Saccharomyces cerevisiae S288C: one gene and its partners. Changing the gene in region 3 together with the main gene of any one other region gives a genetic interaction. Each region holds a gene or a part of one and is shown on either strand. Other genes may lie near its edges. The genes, in order: RET2, PHO86 and TLG2.

Region 1 (3,758 bases), on a different chromosome or scaffold from region 3:
CTGACGGTTCTGTCTATAACAAATACCCAGGTTTCAAGGAAGCCGCCGCTAAGGGTTTGAGAGATATCTATGGATGGACTGGTGACGCAAGCAAAGATCCAATTACGATTGTTCCAGCTGAGGATGGTTCAGGTGCAGGTGCTGCTGTTATTGCTGCATTGTCCGAAAAAAGAATTGCCGAAGGTAAGTCTCTTGGTATCATTGGCGCTTAATGAAAAAAATGTAATGAAATATAAATGTGTTTTTCCCTCCCTTAATATTATTATTCTTATGAGTGATGCCCTTATGTTTTTTTTGCGGTCTAGTATATGTAAATATAGACACACACATATATATATATTTATGTGTATAATCCTAGCTAATAAACATTTTTAGATTGTTATTAGTATAATTTTTTCCACTTACTTTGTTCTCCGGGAGAGAAAAAGTTGTTTATTTTGTAGTAATTTTGTGCACATATTATATATACAAATATTACACAATATTTTCAATACTTATGGCATAATCCATTGCTTTTTCGATAATGTTTGTCTTTTGGTCTTCTTCATGCATCATTTCATCTTCGTAATCAGCTTTCTCCTTTGATTGGTTATTGAAGTAAACTTTCGAGTTGACAATAGGCCAGTTTCTCTCTAGTGCAAATTTTTCAGTTTCTTTTTCGTTGTTGAAAAAGAGCAAAGCCTTTATGTTGGAGAGAGGGAGAAAGTCGTAGGATAGCTCGGTATTTTTAGCAATTTCGTCTCTTATAGCTGATTTTAGGATATCGGTAAAAGAGTCGAATTCTGATATATTCTGCGACCCAGATTGCAGAAGATCCCATGCTTTCTGGTACGACCCTTCCATGAGCCATCTGTCTAGTTTGATAGGGTAAGACAAAAGTGAATCGTCTTCCAAGTTCTTGATATGTTTATCTAGATACTGCAATTCCGAGTGAAACTTGGTTGTGTTATTCTGAGACAATAAGTTCAACAAATACAGACTTATCAGCTTCGATTTCTTGTCAGATTCAGATAATTTATGATTGTTGCTAAAGTAGTAAGGCTTCAATTGGTTGAAGTAATTCTCGAAGCTGTCAAAATTGAAAGTTTGGATGCTAGCAAGGGCACCTACTTCCAGGATCCTTTTAGTAATCATCAAATCATTCAAATAGATGTCATTTTGAATGGATAAGTCAGGTATTAAAAGGTTATTCTTGATAAGTTCGATCTTGATAGGGGGCAAGAGCTTCTCACACGCGGCATAATCGCCGTTTTCAAAGGCTATGCTTAACGACTTGGTCAATTCGGCTAACGAGGGCATTACGATGGCTTCTTATCTCACTTCAATAGTACTTTCCACCGGTTATACTTCCGGCTTTTCCCTATTAATACAAGCTACAATTTCAATGGGTGGCAAATAATGTGTAGAATAGAAAATAAGCCGACAGGGTAATAAAGAAAATTTTTAGAAAAAAAAGGTTAGATGGCTTATTTAAGTTACAGGCTAGCGAAAAAAGGAACTTCAGGGCAAGTAAAGTGTTTGATTGGGCACTAGCATGGCTTATAAAGGCGAGCAATTGTCGAAACTAATTAATGTTGTACGGACTATTGCTGTCTTCTCGTGGTAAATGCGTGTTCCAGGTCGAATACTACTTGCACACAGGCGAGCGGGGCCCCATAAAAGTGTTGCCGATTTGTTAAGTTGTCTTTTCGGTTTTTCTACTCTGTTATTCCTTACTTCCCTTTTTAAGAACTCTTTTTATCCTTCATTTAGGATCTTGCACGTTTCCGCCTCATCACTTGAATTAAAACATGTCTCTGTCAGTAAACCTTGGCGTTTCTATTGTTCTTCATAGTTCAACTTTTATTATTACCCGCCCTGCGCGTTTACATTTTTCCAGCAACAGCCAGCGAAAAATTAGAAAATCTGGTTGTTGACACCTCAAGAACAAGGGCAATTAGCCTCAGCGTCGAATATAGATCATATTAGAATACCTATAGCTCCATCAAAAGAAATACACAATGGTGGTTTTGGCTGCTTCTATCACTACGCGTCAGGGGAAACCTCTCTTGTCCAGGCAATTCAAAGATCTGTCCAAGGATCGAGTCCTAGAGTTGCTGTCCAATTTCCAGAACCTAGTCTCCGAGATCTCGTCAGACCACACATTTGTCGAGGACAAGCACGTCCGCTACGTGTATAGGCCCTTTGATAACTACTACATTATTCTTATCACAAACCGCCAGTCCAATATTATCAAGGATTTGGCCACATTAAATCTGTTTTCACAGACGATCAACTCCTACTTGTCTAGTTTCCAAGACCAAGAGATTTTTCACAATGCCTTTGAGATCTTGTCCTCGTTCGACGAAATCGTGTCAATGGGCGGGTACAAAGAGAACTTGTCCTTTACTCAAGTGCAAACATACTTGTCTATGGAGTCGCACGAAGAAAGAATCCAGGAAATTATTGAGCGTAATAAAGAGATCGAAGCTACTGAGGAGAGGAAGCGCCGTGCTAAGGAAATTGCTAGAAAAGAACATGAAAGGAAACACGGGTTTATGTCTTCAAATGGCGATTACGACGGCGCCAATAGGTTCATGGGAAGTAAAGATCCTAACGTTACAAACGCCATCAACAGTTACTACTCCCATGCTTCTCCTGCAGCACAACAGTCTTATCTACAAAGTTCCCATGCCGCTGCTGCTGAGGTGGCCCCAGTGGCCTCCCCAATGGCTACGTCTCAGCGTGCGGGACATTCTGCTACTGGCGGTATGAAATTGGGTGGTGGTGCCGGAAGAAGAGCGGGTGCCGCACCACGGCCAAGTGCAATTTCTTCAGCCTCTTCTGGCACTCCACCTCCTCCGGAGGAGGATGTCCCAGAGAACAATGGTATTTTGATCTCTATCAAGGAGGTAATCAATGCAGAATTCTCCAGAGATGGTACCATTCACTCTTCTGAATTGAAAGGTGTTTTAGAACTAAGAATTAATGACCATGACTTATCTCACTCGAACCTAAAACTAGCTGATTCTATTGACGTTCGCGATAAATCCTTCCAGTTTAAGACCCATCCAAACATAGATAAACAATCGTTCCTATCCACTAAACTTATCTCCCTGCGTGATAAATCTAAGGCTTTCCCAGCCAACGACCAAAGCCTGGGTGTTCTAAGATGGCGTAAAGTCGCTCCCGCAGAAGATGACTCATTAATTCCATTAACTCTAACTACATGGGTTTCCCCCTCCGAATCACAACAGGGCTTTGATGTCATTATTGAGTATGAGAGCGTCCTGGAAACAGAACTCGCTGATGTGATCTTCACCATTCCAGTTTTCCCTCAGGAGCCAGTAGACATAAATACAGAGTCTTCTACATGCTCTGACGCTGAAGTTGTCAACATGGACCAAGAAATGGGAACCTCCATTAAGATTAGCAAAATTGCTGCCAACGATGCAGGTGCGCTAGCATTCACTATCGAAGCTCCATATGAAGATGCATTGTACCCAATGACCGTTTCCTTCCAAGAGTCCACGAGGGATAAATTAGCTAAGAGTTTCACCGGTATGGCCATACAATCTGTTGTCATGGCCAATGACCACGATCAAGAGCTCCCTTACGACGTCATCACCTCTTTGAAATCAGATGAATATCTTGTCCAATAGTACGTTACATTCACATATAAAATACTTAAGTTATATACACAAACTAAATAAATAAAAATCGAGGTATCTTTTCTTTCGTCCTTCTATATATATAGTTTAACTTACTCTTATTCTTTA
Region 2 (3,594 bases), on a different chromosome or scaffold from region 3:
GTGAAAACACTGGTACCAGCGACAATAACGTTGGCACCGGCTTTGGCGGCTTTCGGGATGGTCTCCTTGCCCAAACCACCATCGACTTGGATATTCAAATGGGGGAACTTGGCTCTCAAAGTTTCCACTTTTGGCATCATGTCTTCCATGAATTTTTGGCCTCCAAACCCAGGTTCCACAGTCATAACAAGAGCCATATCCAAATGAGGAGCTAGTTCAAATAAAACGTCAACAGAAGTACCAGGTTTGATGGCGCATGCAGCTTTGATGCCCTTAGACTTAATCAACTTAACTAAATGCAAAGGGTCTTGTGTGGCCTCGTAGTGGAACGTAAATTGGTCAGCACCACATTTAGCAAAATCGTCGACCCATTTTTCAGGATTTTCAACCATCATGTGACAATCGAAGAACGCAGTGGGCTTCTTTTCTGTGTTGCTAGCATCGCCAGGGCGTGGCACAGAACGACGTAGGGAGGTAACAATTGGTTGGCCCAGAGTAATGTTTGGAACAAAATGGCCGTCCATGACATCGATATGTAACCAATCTGCGCCGGCGTTGATGACCTTATGACATTCGCAACCCAAGTTGGCGAAGTCAGAAGCAAGGATACTGGGAGCTATAATTGGTTTGACCATTTTTTCTTGTGTGTTTACCTCGCTCTTGGAATTAGCAAATGGCCTTCTTGCATGAAATTGTATCGAGTTTGCTTTATTTTTCTTTTTACGGGCGGATTCTTTCTATTCTGGCTTTCCTATAACAGAGATCATGAAAGAAGTTCCAGCTTACGGATCAAGAAAGTACCTATACATATACAAAAATCTGATTACTTTCCCAGCTCGACTTGGATAGCTGTTCTTGTTTTCTCTTGGCGACACATTTTTTGTTTCTGAAGCCACGTCCTGCTTTATAAGAGGACATTTAAAGTTGCAGGACTTGAATGCAATTACCGGAAGAAGCAACCAACCGGCATGGTTCAGCATACAATACACATTTGATTAGAAAAGCAGAGAATAAATAGACATGATACCTCTCTTTTTATCCTCTGCAGCGTATTATTGTTTATTCCACGCAGGCATCGGTCGTTGGCTGTTGTTATGTCTCAGATAAGCGCGTTTGTTATGCGAAAAAAAAAAACTTTACAGAGGCTTTGTTTATATATAGAAAGACCACGAAAAAAACAGTGATGGCTTCATGCTTTTCAGTTTCATTATTGGCACGAGTAGCAGTCGTTGAGCCCATCAGAGTGCAACTTTGGTTAAATGTCGTAAATTGTATGATTGAATCATCCATGCACCAATGTCCTCCACGGGATCGCCACTTTTTTTCTTCATCACGCCCCATTTTGTTGATCCGACGTTCTGTATCAACTGTATACAGATTCGTTGCTTCTCGCACCACACAGGTTTTACGTGCGGCCAAGACCGTTGTCAAGTGGTTCATTATTGTCGACCCACTGATAAATTCTATTCTAATCAATTATCTCATTGATAGGCTCTGCACTCTTGGGCATGCTGTATTGCGAGTGAAAAAGCGCAAGACCGAGGAGAGACAACCCTGTTCTCCCATTATACAACACACACACGTTAAGAGACGCAAACGGCCTCGTCTGAGGATCGTAGCCATCAAGAGGAAGCGGAGGCGTCGAAGACCACATCGCATCGAGCGTCCACTCTCAAATATGTACCCAATAATGGAAATCCAGATGGTGGCTGTTCCACTTGCTCTTCCCAGTCCAACTGCACTGGTGCATTATCAGCAGCAGCAACAGCAGCTCCCGCAACATCATCCCTGGTACGACCTCTCGCTTTCTGAAGAAGCCCTCTCGACCTGCTGTTGTAGTTGACCTATAACTGAAAATTCACACCCGCATTACCCAGCGCGCCCGCACGTGCTCTTTATGGAAACTATAATGAATAACGACCAAAGAACATCTTTTTTTCTCTCTCACACAAATAAAGCTTTTCATGTTTATAGATATATAGCACATACTTTTACTAAGTTTTCTAGATTGATTACGACTCTTCCAGTTGCACATTTTTTCATAGCGAAAGTACAAGAGTAGGAAGAGTGGCACAATGGCGGTTCAACAAAGAAAGAAGAAAGAGGGTAGAAAGTCCGATAAAAATGCCCCATCGGTCCCACAAGTAGATGCATCATTAGACAAACCACTTGATATTGATGCTCCTCCTACTATTTACAGTGTTAATTTGAAACCAGAATATGGTACAGCTGCATTGAATTTGTCCGCGGATTTCATCAGACAAGAACAGGCATTGGCTAATAAGTATTTGTTCTTCCATCCCGTCATCCTTGTTGTTCTAACCATTGGGCTGCTTATTTACTTGACGCCAAGAATTGTCTTTCCGATAAGGAATACAGGATCCGTTGCTGGATGGTTCTACCAGCTGGCTCGTATTAATAAGAAGGTCGTCCTCAGCGGTTTAGTGTTCACCGCAATTGGTGCATCTTTCTTGTTCACCCTCCTCTCACGTGTATCTGACTCGTATTTCAAGTCGAAGATCAACCAACTTGTTGGTTCTAAAGGTGAGAAAGTTTTCGGCATCAATTTGAATGATTTGGTGGCAAGACATGAAACAAAGGATCCAGTGGTGAACAATACGCATATCATCGTTTATAGAGAAACGCCCATTGCATTGATTTCGTTAGCCCCTAACATGACATTAAGTACTGATGAAAATTTAGTCATGAGTGTTACTACTGTGGGTTGTCGTCGTGTATATGTAAAAAGTGGCATTATCGAAGATTTGATTGATTGGGCTATGCTACACTCCAAAAATATTAGAAGCAGCGGCAAATACGGGGAGACCATGAAACTCTTGATTGATGTCTACTCATTCGATAGCACGCTTAAGGAAATTTTGAAGAAAAAAGGGTTCACTTATATTCAAAGCATTAGAGTCTCTGAAAATCGACTACTAGGCGGTTTGTTCGGTGTGAAGAAGGAATTATGGGGTTTGCAATTCCATTTTAAAGCCGAACACAAGGACTAGGATACTGTTATTTTTATAGCCAAAAAATGAAAAAAAACAGCATGGCATCTTGTTAGTTCTGTTGCAACTCGCAGGAAGTAACAAAATAAACACTATAATATTTCCATATATTTATATATATGTATACAAACACCTTGTTAACAAAAAAAAAATAAACGAACTAAAGAAAACCGTAATGCAGAGTACACCTTGAAGAGAGAGAAAAGAAAATCTTTGAATCCATAGCATAATAGCGATCAACGAAACTTTTTAAGAAGTAAAATGAACTGAAAGGAGAAAAATATAACGGAATCCCAATGTATAATAATAAATAGAGAGCGGAAGAAAAAGAATAATAAGGGGAATTGAGGGTATCAAAATACAAGACATTCTTTTACCGAAAAGAAGAATGACTTAATAGAAAACAAATTCAGCAGATCCAGATAAAACAGAAACTGTGCAACCATCGGAACCATCTCCGGTGAAAGAGCCATCTTCATACGCACAGCTGCCCTGAACGTTAGCGCCATCGGATGCAACTATTTTAACGTTAAAGTTGGCAGCTTGGTTACTGTTGGGGTTTGGAATCAACGACAAGTATGTT
Region 3 (3,479 bases):
TGTGTAAATTCGTTTGCAAAATATTCACCCCATTCTTCATTTATTTTAACTGCAGCTCGTAATCTGTCTGTAGTTACTTTTTCGCTCAATGATTTCCGAACACCCTTTAGAAATTTCATCTGACTATTGATCTTACTCAGTTTTCCTTTGTCGCTGGGCTTCCTTTTCTTTCGATTTTCCAACTTTTGACTCATCAAAGAGCATAAAACTTCACAACTATCTAATATGTTATTGGCCCCGCACATAGCAAACCTGCTGGCGTGAAAAGTTTGATGGTTGAACCCTGTATCGCCTTTCAAGTGAGTGAGCCTTTGAATTTCATTATGGAAAAGTGCGGAGTAGCTACAATTCCAATCGATCATGCATCTCAATAATATTATTCTATCTAATGGTTCCATCGTCAACAAACCACCTCCATTAAAATTTAGAGTAGATAAAATATCACTATTACCACGCCATTCTTTTGGTAAGCCCCACTCCTGGATTAAGCTTCTGAGTTTGCCAACCAGTTTTCCATATGGATTTTTCAAACTAAGAAATCTTTTTAGCGTGAAATTTCTATGAGTTTGGTTGTCTGCTCTTTTCTCGGAGCAGAATAATAACCTCAAAAGACTGCAAAATAGTAGATTCATTTTATCCTGACAAATTCGAATATTCTTCGCAGAATGGCCAGCCACCTTTAATTCTAGTCCTATCTCCACATCTTGAAATGACAGGTTCAGTAGATCGTCGCTGAACACCCATTTAAATTTGACGATAAAAGAAAGGATCTTCATAACATCGCCTGCATATGGGAGAGGGGTGCAAAGGGGAGGCGCCCAATTGCTTTCCGTTACCGTCTCATCACTCATAAACTTTGCAAAGTCAGAATATCGTAAAGGAATATTTGGTGACCAGTTTAATGTATTCAATGGTCTATTATTAGAAGTAGTGTGTTCACTGATCGACTCTACCTTGTTAGTGTCGTTCGAATGTGTTTTGATATTAGAATATTTGCTTGCCATATTTGCCTCCATTTCTTTAGTTTTCATTTCTTCATCACAGGTACCTTCATATTTCTCCCGCTTTTTAGTATTTTGGGTAGCAGCATCCAGTGATTCGTCAATTGAACTATTGTGAGAAAGTACAACAGGTTCTTCTACAATTTTGATGTTTCTGAAATCATCAAAGGTCAACTGACCCCTTCTTTTTACCCTAGGCTTTGAAGACTGGTTTTTCTGTTGTTTGACCATAGGTTTCTTGATAAAGTCATCGACCAAGTCTAAATCAATAATTTCTGTCATTATTGTACCTCAAATTTCTTGTTCCTTATTTTCTTGTTTGATGTCTAAAAAAAAGAGATATCCTGGTAATGAGCAGGCCGTTTCTTCAGCTCATACAATCGAAAGCTTAAGAGTTAGTCGTTGATATGGTATTCTCTAATACCGAAAATAACTTAGTACATATAAACGCGTAAAGTTCACGCGTTTATATCACCCTACCATATGACATTCTAACCCTACTAATTTTTTATCAAAGCTAATAGGGTTGTATTTTATTATCTTTTACACCTACCTTTTTTTTTTGTATATGCCCTATAGATGAATTATAATTGTTGGACCGGTTTGTATTGGGCTTTTAAGGTGTAAAGTGAGTGCGTATAGATTATAGCAGAATAGACTATAAGTACGGCAAGACAGGAAAGTCTCCAATTGATGTACATTTTATCGCTTTGTGATCTAGGCAGTCGTTACAAACATGTTTAGAGATAGAACTAATTTATTTTTATCATACCGTAGGACTTTCCCTCATAACATAACTTTCTCATCTGGGAAAGCACCCTTGGGCGATGATCAAGATATTGAAATGGGTACATACCCGATGATGAATATGTCTCACGATATATCGGCCAGATTGACAGATGAACGAAAAAACAAGCATGAGAATCACAGTGATGCGTTACCACCCATATTTATTGATATAGCGCAGGATGTTGATGATTATCTTCTGGAGGTGAGACGGTTAAGTGAGCAGTTGGCGAAGGTTTATAGGAAGAATTCGTTACCTGGCTTTGAAGACAAGAGTCATGATGAGGCGCTGATTGAAGATCTAAGTTTCAAAGTAATTCAGATGCTGCAGAAATGTTACGCTGTTATGAAACGATTAAAGACCATATACAACTCTCAATTTGTGGATGGTAAGCAATTAAGTCGAGAAGAGCTGATTATACTAGATAATCTACAGAAGATCTATGCAGAAAAGATACAAACTGAAAGTAATAAGTTCAGAGTATTACAAAATAATTACTTGAAATTCTTGAACAAGGATGATTTGAAACCTATCCGCAATAAGGCCAGTGCAGAGAACACGCTATTATTAGATGATGAGGAAGAGGAGGCAGCAAGAGAGAAGAGAGAGGGCCTCGATATTGAAGACTATTCAAAAAGGACGTTGCAGAGACAGCAACAGCTTCATGACACTTCTGCAGAAGCATATTTGAGAGAACGTGACGAAGAAATTACTCAGTTGGCAAGGGGTGTATTAGAAGTGAGCACTATTTTCAGGGAAATGCAAGATTTGGTTGTTGACCAGGGGACTATTGTGGACAGGATTGATTATAATCTGGAAAATACAGTGGTAGAGCTAAAAAGTGCAGATAAAGAGTTGAATAAAGCAACACACTACCAGAAGAGAACTCAAAAATGTAAAGTCATTTTATTACTAACATTGTGCGTAATAGCGCTCTTTTTCTTTGTTATGTTGAAACCACATGGCGGTGGCAGTGGTGGTCGTAATAATGGTAGCAACAAGTACAACAATGATGATAATAAAACAGTTAATAACAGTCATGATGACGGCAGTAATACCCATATTAATGACGAAGAGAGCAACTTGCCGAGTATCGTTGAAGTAACAGAATCTGAGAATGATGCTTTGGATGACCTACTTTGATGACAAAACTTTCACGGTACCGCATCGCGATTTTGAACTATAATATGCTTTGAAGAAAATTGAGAGATTTAGTCAGCGTTCATATGACCTGTTGCTCGTTCTATTTGAGAAAAGTGAAAAGGTTAATATATGATTTCAATAAAGTATGTAGTATGATAATAAAATACAAATTTATATGGGATAAAATTGAACCGCAAGTAAAGACTGGCGAACGAATATTGTGCATAAGTAGTTCCTGAAGATGATAAAATATGGTTTAATACAAGTTGGTGGTTATTGTGATTTGTAGAATATAAAAAAAAAAAAAGAACCTTCATTTTTCTTTTTTTACCTAAATCCGTAAGGATTGTTCAGTGAAGTAGTAGCTCGGGGCAAGTTTTTGTTTTGCATTCTCCTCTTATAGGCAGGCTTATATCCTTGTGTTATCGGGCTTTGGTTTGGTAAAGGATTCGGAGCAAAACCGACGCCTGGTACCGGATTTCTGTGCTGTGGCACTTGGTTTGGGGCAACGTTGAAATAAGGATTGCTTTGTAAAATAACATTAGAAG

The links.
Region 1: mutations in TLG2 (region 3) and RET2 together harm fitness more than expected from each alone (negative genetic interaction), as found in Saccharomyces cerevisiae (5 studies listed by BioGRID).
Region 2: mutations in TLG2 (region 3) and PHO86 together harm fitness more than expected from each alone (negative genetic interaction), as found in Saccharomyces cerevisiae (5 studies listed by BioGRID).

The regions. Positions count from the first base shown.
Region 1 is NC_001138.5:250,046-253,803, reverse strand, and holds RET2 (coatomer subunit delta), read left to right. Parts: upstream 1-2,000; coding exon 2,001-3,641; downstream 3,642-3,758. Other genes in the region: HXK1 (hexokinase 1), read left to right, coding at 1-212; proteasome regulatory particle lid subunit RPN12, read right to left, coding at 475-1,299. UniProt on the Saccharomyces cerevisiae protein: The coatomer is a cytosolic protein complex that binds to dilysine motifs and reversibly associates with Golgi non-clathrin-coated vesicles, which further mediate biosynthetic protein transport from the ER, via the Golgi up to the trans Golgi network.
Region 2 is NC_001142.9:190,456-194,049, forward strand, and holds PHO86 (Pho86p), read left to right. Parts: upstream 1-2,075; coding exon 2,076-3,011; downstream 3,012-3,594. Other genes in the region: ribulose-phosphate 3-epimerase RPE1, read right to left, coding at 1-635; YJL118W (uncharacterized protein), read left to right, coding at 1,184-1,843; SUN family protein NCA3, read right to left, coding at 3,405-3,594.
Region 3 is NC_001147.6:290,333-293,811, reverse strand, and holds TLG2 (t-SNARE syntaxin TLG2), read left to right. Parts: upstream 1-1,737; coding exon 1,738-2,931; downstream 2,932-3,479. Other genes in the region: ESC8 (Esc8p), read right to left, coding at 1-1,283; TOS7 (Tos7p), read right to left, coding at 3,259-3,479. UniProt on the Saccharomyces cerevisiae protein: t-SNARE that functions in transport from the endosome to the late Golgi and on the endocytic pathway.